Linked DNA regions of Mus musculus. The protein of the gene in region 1 interacts with the protein of each later gene in a pairwise test. Links are inferred from orthologs where the notes say so. Each region holds a gene or a part of one and is shown in the gene's direction. Other genes may lie near its edges.

The links.
Region 2: the proteins of Atxn2 (region 1) and Rbfox1 interact in binary tests that used the Homo sapiens proteins (3 or more experiments, as listed by UniProt). The link is inferred for Mus musculus from reciprocal best matches to the Homo sapiens genes ATXN2 and RBFOX1.
Region 3: the proteins of Atxn2 (region 1) and Sh3gl2 interact in binary tests that used the Homo sapiens proteins (3 or more experiments, as listed by UniProt). The link is inferred for Mus musculus from reciprocal best matches to the Homo sapiens genes ATXN2 and SH3GL2.

The regions. Positions count from the first base shown.
Region 1 is NC_000071.6:121,795,020-121,798,669, forward strand, and holds part of Atxn2 (ataxin-2), read left to right. Parts: coding exon 1-229; intron 230-1,353; coding exon 1,354-1,417; intron 1,418-2,203; coding exon 2,204-2,356; intron 2,357-2,705; coding exon 2,706-2,772; intron 2,773-3,650. UniProt on the Homo sapiens protein: Involved in EGFR trafficking, acting as negative regulator of endocytic EGFR internalization at the plasma membrane.
Region 2 is NC_000082.6:7,068,471-7,072,718, forward strand, and holds the start of Rbfox1 (RNA binding protein fox-1 homolog 1), read left to right. Parts: upstream 1-1,364; 5' UTR 1,365-1,528; coding exon 1,529-1,615; intron 1,616-4,248. UniProt on the Homo sapiens protein: RNA-binding protein that regulates alternative splicing events by binding to 5'-UGCAUGU-3' elements. Regulates alternative splicing of tissue-specific exons and of differentially spliced exons during erythropoiesis.
Region 3 is NC_000070.6:85,376,354-85,380,003, forward strand, and holds part of Sh3gl2 (endophilin-A1), read left to right. Parts: coding exon 1-131; intron 132-1,040; coding exon 1,041-1,174; intron 1,175-2,898; coding exon 2,899-3,057; intron 3,058-3,650. UniProt on the Homo sapiens protein: Implicated in synaptic vesicle endocytosis. May recruit other proteins to membranes with high curvature. Required for BDNF-dependent dendrite outgrowth.

The DNA.
Region 1 (3,650 bases):
AAGATAAAACGGAAGCAAGTGCTAAGGATAGTTTCATTGACAGCAGCAGCAGCAGCAGCAACTGTACCAGTGGCAGCAGCAAGACCAACAGCCCTAGCATCTCCCCTTCCATGCTTAGTAATGCAGAGCACAAGAGGGGGCCTGAGGTCACATCCCAAGGGGTGCAGACTTCCAGCCCAGCCTGCAAACAAGAGAAGGATGACAGAGAAGAGAAGAAAGACACAACAGAGTGAGTAACCTGGGTCTCAGCACATGCTCTCTCCGAGTAACCTGCTTTAAGGGGTTTTCTGTTCCATAGTAACTGTTACATAGAGCTGGGGTTAGAAATCTGAGCTGAATCTAGTCATTGGGTTCTTAGCATTCTTCCCATTCTGACTTGTTTGCAGCTGTGGGGGTAAGAAAAGCTACTTCTATGGAGATAAGAGTTTAAATTTGAATGCCCTGTCTCGGGGTTCTGGTTCTGCCTAACCCTGCAGTCTGCAAGGACTATTTGCTGCCCCAGTTGAGGAAATGTTTAGTTGATAAGCACATCTTTATAAACCTTATTTCTGTGCATCTGGCATTTAAAAGCACTTAAATAGATAAACTAGTGGGTTAGCCTCAGACATAATCACCACTCCCTTTTTGTGTTCTGGATAACAAAAAAAAAAACTAATTGTACTTGAACTATTTATTCTTGATTTGCAGAAAAATAATTTTACTAGAGCAATGGTAAACCCAAGGCATGTGATTAAAACATTTTGACACATTTAAAATTGCTGCGTATGCTACAGGTGGTGGAAGGGCTTTGTTAACACAGCACTTGGGCATCTGAGGCTGTTGATCCTAAGTTTGAGGCCAGCCTGGATCCATTGCAAGGCCTAATCTTTAAAAAAAAAAAAAAATTAGAACTACTGTGAACTCATTAAGCATTGGTGTTTTATCTGCCTGTCTGTCTGTACACCACACACTTGCTGTACCTTCAGAGGCCAAAAGAGGGTGTCAGATGCCTGAAACTGTAGTTATAGATAGATGGATTAATAAACCCAGTCCTATGGAGTGGCAGCTGTTTAGCTGTCACTTAACCTCATTAGGCACCCTTTTAAGGGGCTGCGACTTACCAGTTGAAATATTCGGTGATTGCTTTTGAGGGATGTGGTTTCTTTGGTTTTCATTTGTTCTCGTATGGTTAGTTTCTTCATCAGATTAAGCAGCAGAGGTGTGTGTTTCAGTAAAGGAGACTGAGACATGGAGAGTTACTCACATCTGCTCTATGTCAGCAATCCTCTGAAAGCTGACGAGTGTGGCGCAGTTGAGAAAGCCGCAGCCCCATGATGTTTCACTGGCCTGCTTGTTGTTTTCTTTCTTTCTTAGGCAGGTTAGGAAATCGACATTGAATCCCAATGCAAAGGAGTTCAACCCTCGTTCTTTCTCTCAGGTAAGCGCTAGCCTTTTACAGCTGGTCTGAAGAGACGTCACTGCGCTCTTCATGGCTTTCTCCTGAGCTCCCATCTGACTGAGCCCAGTTGTAGGACCCTGAGACAGCCTGGCCTCCAGGCTTGTGGGATGTCCCCAAGCTTGTCAGTCCTGCTGTGCCGCTGTGAGGGACAGCTCAGTGTAAGCTCACAACGACTGAGGCTGTCAGGCCAAAGAAGCCCACTCACTAACTACACAAGAGAGTCCATTTCCTCGGGAAGGCATAGGAGAACATGCCTGTATTCTTAGCAAACAGGAGACCGGGGCAAAAGGGTCATGATTTTGTGGTCAGTTTGGGCCACATAGTGAGATCCCCACCCCAAAACACAAAAATGAAAAGAAAAAAATGGATAGACCTTTTCTGGTTCCTTGTAAAATTATTACAATTTTTATATCTTTTTTTCATTGATAAATATTTTAGCTTGATTAGATATGATACAGTGTTGATACCAAATCTGTGTTTATGCCAGCCCTCTAACACTGAGAAATGTCTGCAGCCTAAGTTTTCCCTTTTTTAACCCCTGGAAACTGAATCAACTTCTTACATGCTAGCCTCTGGATGTTTTGTTTGCCTGTTTGTTTGTTTGTTTGTTTTGCTTTGCTTTATCTTTAGAATAAAAAAATGCTAGTTAAAAACAAATAGGCAGAACAATCAGGGAAGCTGCTTTGAATATTGTTTTCATAGATGCTTTTCATCTTGACAGAGTTGATGTTGAATTCTGTTTTTGTTGTTGTTGTTGTTTTGTAGCCAAAGCCTTCTACTACCCCAACGTCACCTCGGCCTCAAGCACAACCCAGCCCATCTATGGTGGGTCATCAGCAGCCAGCTCCAGTGTACACTCAGCCTGTGTGCTTCGCACCCAATATGATGTATCCCGTCCCAGTGAGCCCGGGCGTACAAGTAAGTTCCATGGGTTACAATTTGCTGGACACCATAGCTTGCATTTAGCACAAGTGTCCTAGGTGGGCACTAAGTGGGACACCTGATAGCAAGTAGTGTTAAGAGTGGGCAGTGGGTAGGGGTGGTGTATTGTATCATTAGCATGTGGATCTAAGTTTTAGGATTAATTTTCAGAAAAAAATGACTTACATTTACTATAGGCCAGAGTTGTTCCTTTTAGTTGTGGGTATTAATTTGAATAGCTCACAGGGAATCAAGAAAACACTGGCCAGATCACATTAAAAGACAGTGATAGAATGAATATATTGTTACCATATGAATCTAATGATGTGTTTTCAATTCCCTCAAGCCTTTATACCCAATACCTATGACGCCCATGCCTGTGAACCAAGCCAAGACATATAGAGCAGGTAAAGGTGAGAATAACCCTGCCTGTGTTTGCTTGTGTCTGCATGCTGCATGAGTTTAGCACCTGTGTGCAATGAATAGTTGGCTTCAGCTTGAATTCACAGGGTATGTGTTCACTTGTGATGGCCAACGTGAGTATTCAAGTGATCACATAGTAATCATGTGAGAGAAAAAAATATAAATAAACTTTGTATGTGGTGTGTGGGTATGTGCATGTGTGCACTCAGTATACATGGAGGTTAAAAGAACACTGTAGGAGTTCCTCCTGGTGGGTTCTAGGATCAACCTCAGGTCATCAGATTTGGCCACAAATACCTTTACCTGATGAGCCATCTTGCCAACCCAATAAATGTCCATCCCCATCCCAGTCACCTACACCTTTACCACCCACACTCCACCCTACCCTACCCCCACACAGAGTCTCTCTCTCTCTTACCTTGTAGCCTTGACTAGCTTGGAACTTACTTTATAGACCAGACTTTTGTGGAATTCCTATAAATCTTCCTGCCCCCCCAAGTGCTGGCACTAAAGGTGTGCCCACTACACTCGGCCTTCTTTTTAAAGATGCATTTTGAGGCTGGAGAATTGGATCATTGGTTAAGAGTGCATGCTGCTCTTGCAGAGGACCCAGGCTTGATATCCAGCTCTCACGTGGTGCCTCACGACTTATCTGTAACTAACTCCAGTCCCAGGGAATCCAGTGCCCTCTTCTGGACTCCATGCATACCAGGCATACACACATGTATCAATATACATGCAGGCAAAACACTCATACACATATAAATATCTGTATTTTTTTTCTATATATGAACATTTTGCTAGCGTGTTTGTACTTGTACTGTATGGACACACGGAAGCCAAAAAAAGGCAGCAGAACCCCTGGGAC
Region 2 (4,248 bases), on another chromosome or scaffold:
GTCACCTTTGTTTAGTATATTGCAAATTCATGTATCACAGCTGGAAGATACACATACCAGCTATATAAAATCCCTTCACAGATGAAACACAGCACCAGCAAGTCTGCACCTACTCTGTGGCACATTTCTAGATCACATCTCACAGTGCAATGCCAGCTAGACAACTTACCTAGTGATTGTGTGTGTGTGGGGGGGCGGTTTAAACTCAACACTGCTTCCTACTAGCTGCAAAGTGGCTGCCTAGTGTGAGTCTGGATTCCTGTTGGGTACCACTTTGCTTCCTGGGTCTGGGAATTAGCCCCTGCATCCGAGATGTGGAAGAATGGAGCTCAATAACCCACAAAGCTAATTTACTCAGATTTCAGCTATTATTTTGTTACTCATGAATTGCCTTTTCAAACTGAAATTGGGTGAAGAAGGGGTGGAAAGTGAGCCCACTGTTTTGAGACAGTTTCATGTAGCTCAGGCTGGCCTTAAGTTTGCTATACAGCTGAGCTCCCAATTTTTCTATACCAACTTTCTGAGTTCTAGGATTATAGAGGCTATCCACCACATACTGAGTATTCTTAGATAATTTTTGATCAGCTACCCACATGAACCTGCTAGATTTGAGTGTTGTTGTTATGGTTGTTGTTGTTCTTATTTGTTTGGTTGTTTTTGGTTTTGTTCATAACTGTGGCGGAATGGGTATAGGTGTGAAAATGTATGTGCTGTGTTCAAAGGGTGACCTCCAGGTATCTTTCTTTATTGCTTTTTACTTACGCTTTGAGAGAGGGTCTTCCACTAAACCACTGTACATGGAAGTTTCTGTTTGGCTATGCTGGCTCGACAGTTGAGACCCTGCATTCTCCTGTCTCTGTTTTCCCAGTGCTAGGAATGTGTGACACATTGCCTGATTTCTTACATAGGCACTGGAGATCCAAATTCCAGTCCTCAGGCTTATATGGTAGTATACAAACTCACATAACAACCAGTTGCAATTTAGAACTGAAGTCTAGGCTCTGGTGATGATTTTTATGTGGGTAAATGTTTAAGTTCTTTAAGTTGCAACTGATTGTCATGTAAGCTTACACATTTCTATTACTTATTCTCTCTAAAAATCTCATGCAGACCCAGCCCCTTGCAATTTGGCCCAGTTCCTCAGGACAAATGCCTTCTCTTTTCGCCTGATTCCCTGTCACTCCATCTCCCTTGGTCTGAGAACTAAATTAATGAAGAGTATTTGGTTAGTCATGTTGGGCGAGCTGCTCCCAAAATAGCTCCTTCCATTTTGGTAGCTCCGACCGACCCTGCAGCTGCCGCGTCCCTTCCTTGTCTGGGAAGAAAACTTTCACATTAAGAGTTGCTGATGCAGGGTTTTGTTTCCTTTCCCTCTCCGCTGCCTGTGGATGAGCACTTGGCTCCTGACAGAAGTGATTTGGCTCTCGGCTTTGTAGTTGAGAAGAAGTTGGGTCTATAGATTTCTTTCCCCCTCTAACTCTCTATTGATGTGTTCAGCCTTGGAGGGAATAAAGCCTCCATTTAAAGCATGTTGGCGTCGCAAGGAGTCCTTCTGCATTCTTATGGCGTGCCCATGATTGTGCCTGCTGCCCCCTACTTCCCGGGACTGATGCAGGTAATTCATGGCTTTTGCCAGCAAGCAACTTAACTCCAGAATGCTCTAAGTAATAATTGGAATTTTTATGGTTGAGAAAGCAAACACTTTTAATACAGGAAGAGAAAAAAAAGCCCTCGTGTAGTCAAAGGAAAGACAGTAGGAAATCAAAAAGATGGATCACCTTAATCTGGCTATTGACATCTCTCATGGATGAATAAATGGTGTAGTTGAGCTGTATTTGCTTGTATTGATCTGGGTGCTGTTTAACATTCATGCCTTTGCTTCGGGAGGTTGACCAGGGGGCAAAAGATTTGCTCTCTTCCCTAGCTTTCTGAGGGACTGGGTCTCCCAGAGCAGATCATGAGGCTCAGTAACTTATCATGATATGGCTTGCTTAAAGGCTTTAACCCCGGAAACAGAAGGGCAGGAAATACAGAGTGCTGCTGAGGACACCCCACACAGGTTGTTGTTTGCAGAGAAGCTTCCCCTTGCAAATCTGAGAGGCGACCCACAAACAAGAGGGTACACTGAGAATGGTCTCGCTAGGAAGTTCAGAGGTTATTCTGCAAATTCGATGCCAACTGTTTGTATTCTCGGCAGCTGGGGAGAAGTTAGGATGCCTGTTGTTTTGACTGCTAAGGCTATTATTCTGTGTACCGAGAGGTTTGTGTGCTAGCGAGAAATTGGACCTGTTTCTTTGCCTTATTGTACCTCCTTGCTGTCACTCAAACCCACTGCTTCTGGGTGTACGCCTGCAGTTCTCTGGGAAGCCAACATCCACTTGTGATAGAAGTGGGTCATTGTAGGAAGCAAGTGGCTATTTGTTGCTGTTCTTTAGAAATAAGCAACCCTAAGTAATAAATCCTAAATCTCCTTTCTATGGGAAAGGAAAATTAAATATATGCAGTACAACACTTTAGCTTTTTTTCCTGTAGCCCCACTCCCACCCAGCCCTCTCTGAGAGTTCTACAAAACTCTAATTCATTAATGACGACTTCTGTGGAGGATTGAACAAATATTCTTTTTATTCTTTGACTGTGACTGTGACTGTGACCTTCTATTAACTGTCAGAAGCTGGGTGGCAGAATGCACCCAGACGTCAATCCCGATAGCATCAGAACTGCCAATTACCCTAGATGTATGGATACTATTGCTACACTTCTATGTTATAGGTAAATAGACCAGCAGAGAATGGCCCTGGCACCAAGGAAGGGAACTTGTGGCCAGATGGTGACATGAAACTTAGGACTTGAAGGTGAAGCAGAGTAACAGTGCTTTTGGCTTCTGTTGGAAATTTGGGGTGAAGGTCAAAGGCTGGAGTTTTGTCGGCCCCTGTGCTGCCCTATCCGATAAATAATTACAAGCAAATCGCTCATTTCAGTCCGTGCTGATTGATGCTGAAATTGCTTTTGAAAGTTCTCATAAGTTCCTGTTATAGATTAAGTGCTGGTGCAGGAGAATAACGGCACCCACAGAAATGGGTGAATGTAATCAGGTTTAATGGACTCGAGAGCTTGTTGGGAATTAAATAACTATCGATTTGCTGGGATGTTTCTGTCATTACAAAATGCCACTCTGAACGTATTACCCCAATGATAGATGAGAAGACGCTAGAACCAACTGCAAAGCTGGGAAGGCACTATTTCTTCCTCTTTGGCAAAATGTTCAAGAAACATAACTGGTTAGTGTGGAATGGAGCAAGTTATTTTACTTGCAAATGTTAACCTGATCCATTCTCATTTGTTTCCCAAAAGGAAACTTCTGAACTAGTGACCTACAAGTCCTTCTGTGTGTGTCAGTGAGGAGCCTCCGATGAGCTACTGGGACCCACTGCACCCTTCCCCTCTCCTCCACACAGAGCACACTGCAAGGCTGTGCACATGAAGGTGCTAGCCTTCTTGCTGCTTTGTGGAGGCTCAAAGAAACTAAACCCCCTCCCATTGCAGTTTTGTTCTTAAGGAAAGGATGTGGTATGATAGAATAGGTAGGAAATTCTAGTGCCTCTTTACCTTTCAGCTTGCACTTCCTGCCCTAGCTACCTTGGCCCTTAGCTTGAGGAGTTTCACCCCGAGTCAGGAATAAAGGCCCTTTTGCCAGGATTCAGATTTCTTTAGCAACTTAGTGATTCCAGCAAGACAAGAAAATGAAGAGGACTATGGACTCATCTTTGCTAGGATCCCTTGTGCCTGCATAGTTGGGAACAGCATGAATGGTTATGTGCAAGGGCCACTGGCGAGCTGCTTGAGATGCTGTTCACAATTTCACAGTCTTTCTAAACTCAACAGCCAACAGTTCTGTGGCCAAAGATGTTCCTTTTTGAATTGCTGCCTGAGACACTTTTGAAATTCAGGCCAGTGTGGCTTAATTTTTCTGCAGTTAAAGAAAAAATAATTTGCATTTTTTTTAAGTTTTAAGAGAGTACCTGACTCATGCTACAGTCAGTACCTACAGATGTGTCCTTACGTGTCTAGTGAGGTCCCTCTCATGGCCTCTTCTTTAAAGTCAGTCCCATAGTTAACATGGGATTTCCATTCCTACTTTCTGTTTCTCTGGAAAACCAGTGTCACTATATCGTATCCAGGGCACCCTTTATTTTATGGAGTAAACTAAACTTATGGAGTAAACAGACAAATAAGACAAGCATTTTGTTT
Region 3 (3,650 bases), on another chromosome or scaffold:
GCTCAGTATGATCAACACCATGTCGAAAATCCGCGGCCAAGAGAAGGGGCCAGGCTACCCTCAGGCGGAAGCACTGCTGGCAGAGGCCATGCTCAAGTTCGGCAGGGAGCTGGGTGATGATTGCAACTTTGGTAAGTAGCCTTGGCCATACTGCAGGTCTCCAAGGAGGTTGTGGTGCTGATTAAAAAACAAAACAAAACAACAAAGCAAAACCCACTAACAACAGCAAACTCGAGATCATCAGTCAGCCTGCTTATATTTTAATTCTCACTTGTAGATGTTATATATGGGGGATGAAATGTGATTTTAGGACTGCCAGTGTTTAAAGTGATTTGTCTACGCAGCTTTTGTCCTTTTCCTCTAATGGGACCCCAGCCTTGACAACAGTTCCGGCAGACATGCCCAGATGCCTTGGCACTTTCCTGGGTGTATCTGGCAGGAGCTGCGTATTAAAGCAGATCGAGCAGTCACAATCAGCGTGAATTCCTACACTGGCACCTGGGCTCTCTAGGATTAATCCACTGCTCATTTGTTTGGGATCCCTGATTCTGTTGCTCCAGGCAAAATAGAATTTATTCTATCTCCTCTCTTGCCTGGCTCTCAGGACCCTAAGCACCTTCTGCCTTCAAGCACCTTCTGCCTTCACTCCTATTGACATGGGACCTCTCTAGTCCCTTTTTCCTCAGTTTTTAGTATCTGCTTCTGCTAAAAGCATTGAGCTGCAACTGATCTCATATTAATGAGAACTAGTGCCTATCACAGAGAACAGAGAGCCTTGCAAAATAGTATTCAGAGTAAAATATCCAGTTCCTGGTAAGGAGGGATACTCCTCCTTTTAAAGGGTCCATGGAGCCTGGTTTTCAGAATGACTGTGGTAAATAGAAAAACTTCTTTTGTCTTGAGAACACTATGGGCTTTCTTAGACTCTGTTGCTGTTATAGGACAGAGGCAATCCCTACACAGCCATCTTGAAGGCTGTTGTTGCAAAGAGTGCTTGTCTTTATTCTTCAGGGTGTGAGATCTTCATTTTCCCCTCTCAGGTCCTGCTCTCGGTGAGGTGGGAGAAGCCATGAGGGAGCTCTCGGAGGTCAAGGACTCATTGGACATGGAAGTGAAGCAGAATTTCATCGACCCCCTTCAGAATCTTCATGACAAGGATCTGAGGGAGATTCAGGTCTGTGCGATCCTTCTTCTCACACACACGCAGATTCTCATTTCCCAGACAGTCTCCCTGGGATACACAGAAGAGGGCACGTGAATTTCCTACAGCTCCATAAGATGAAAGGCACTGGAGACCAAGGGCCATCAATCCAGGATCACAGCTGCAGCCCTGCAGCTCCTGAGCAGAGCATTGGTTCCTCTGTCTTCAACTTCCTTGTTAAACAATCTTCCCACCATTTTTTTTTTCTTAAAAAAAAGCCCCTTAATTTTTTTTTAAATGTAGCCCTGGTTGTCCTAGAATTTGCTCTATAGATCATGCTGGCCTCACACTCACAGAAATCCACCTGCCTCTGCCTCAGTAGTGCTGGGATTAAGGGCTTGCATCACTGCCACCCAGCCAAAGGGATGTCCTTTATCCGGGACTTTAAACTCTGTTAATGATGGATGAGGCTGATGGGGTCCCCAAATATTAGTTGTACTTCTATCAGTTTAAATAAGTAGCTACTATATTACTCTTCGATTTTTATATTTTCCTTATTGTTGTTGGTGTTTAGAAGGAATAACCACGCTTTGTGAAACATACAGAAAAGCTGAGATATCTCTGATAAATTAAGCTGGTGTTGCCTCTGAGTGGCCGTGAGTTCAAATGCTTCTACAGCACCCCCTTGCCAAAAGAAAGCACACTTAGTTGGGATTAGAGTGTTAGTTGGGGGTGGGAGATGCGGTGAGAGGAGCAGGGTGTAGAACAAAACCCATCCTTTATCTTGCCAGTTCTCTACCACCCCTGACTCTGTTTCTATCTTCTCTTCTTCCTCCCTCGTCCATACACACTAAGGAACAGAGGAAAAAATCACTTTTTTCTCCCACCAGTTAGTCGTAGAATGCTACAGCTATTAAGAAAGGAAACTACTGTTGATCTTCAGGAAAACAAAACAGAACAAAACTACTTATCCTCATCTTTAGAGAGGTTATGAACCTTACCATATGGAGATACTACAGTGAGGGATTAAAGCTACAGGTGTGTGTGTGTGTGTGTGTGTGTGTGTGTGTGTGTGTTAGGGGAGGTAGTGCTGATAGAAGATCCTCCAAGGTCCCTTGCAGTTTGGGTTTGTGACTGAGTTGTGTCACCTGTCCTTGGAGAGGTAAACTCATCTGTCCCCTAAAAGCTACCTCTGTCAAATGGGGCAGGTGTTGTGATGCAGATCACTAGGCTCAGCCTGGCTTTTCTGACTTAGGTGATCAGATATTCTTACCTAACATACTAGGTGACTCTGGTAAACTAGATTAATAAAAAAGGAATTTCATTTTTTTCTACCTTTACCTCAGAAAAGAGGGCTTTCCCATTTCTCACGAGGAAGGTGACTGGCAGGCTCTTGTGTGTAGCATTTTCTTGAGGTGGAAGGTATGGGTGATGCCTATCCACATGCCCTTCTTGTCATTTGGAGAAGAGATATAGTTCAACTTGGCTTTGGCCTGGGAATGCTTAGCAAAAGGACATTGGTCTTTCAGTGACTTGTTTCTCATTCTGAATTATTTGTCAAGGTGTCCCTCTACAGTTAGCCACTAGAAGCATTTGCGTTGCTGGTACATGTGTCTTCATTTCTCTGGTGACATGCAATTTCAAACTCAGCCAGTCACATTTTGGAAGCTACTAGGAATGTAAGAAAAATGAGGTACAAGAAGGTCTTTTCCATAATATGTCCTTTGGAAGCATGTTCCTGCCCTTGGCTCTTTCAGCATCATCTGAAAAAGCTGGAAGGCCGACGCTTAGACTTTGATTATAAGAAGAAGCGACAAGGCAAGATTCCAGATGAAGAACTCCGCCAAGCTCTGGAGAAATTCGATGAGTCTAAAGAAATCGCCGAGTCGAGCATGTTCAACCTCTTGGAGATGGATGTAAGCTGCTTTTCTCTGGGTTTTCATTTAATTTTACCATCGAGGCATAGCACTGATGTGTTGAAAGACATATCATGTGACATGATACCATCTGGTTCCTCTGTGTGATAAGAACACACAGGGGCCACTTATCTTAGTGATTTATCATACAGACAACATGGAAATGGAATTCATTTCTTTATCCTTATAGATTGATTGAACCAGAACTATTTTTAATGGATTTTAAAGTATTGCCAGTAAGTGCAGAGATAATGACTCTGATAACCCACATATAAATCCAACATATTACAAACTACTGTTTTAATATAGAGCATATGACCTGCATTATGAATAAATTACATTCAGAATTGAGTTTCTGAAGTTATAAAGTTGTCAATACATAGAAGTGATCTTGAAATTTTCATAGAAAAATACATAAATTAGAATTGATGATTCATTCAGGGCATGGCTGAGATGGTTTAGAAGTTGCCCCTGCATCACCAGAATTCTAAATTATCACTTATGGCTTCGGACATTAACTTCTGTTGAGTTCATTCAGCTGTAAAGCCACATGAACAGTGCTTTCTTCCTTATTTCACACATGTATAGATTTG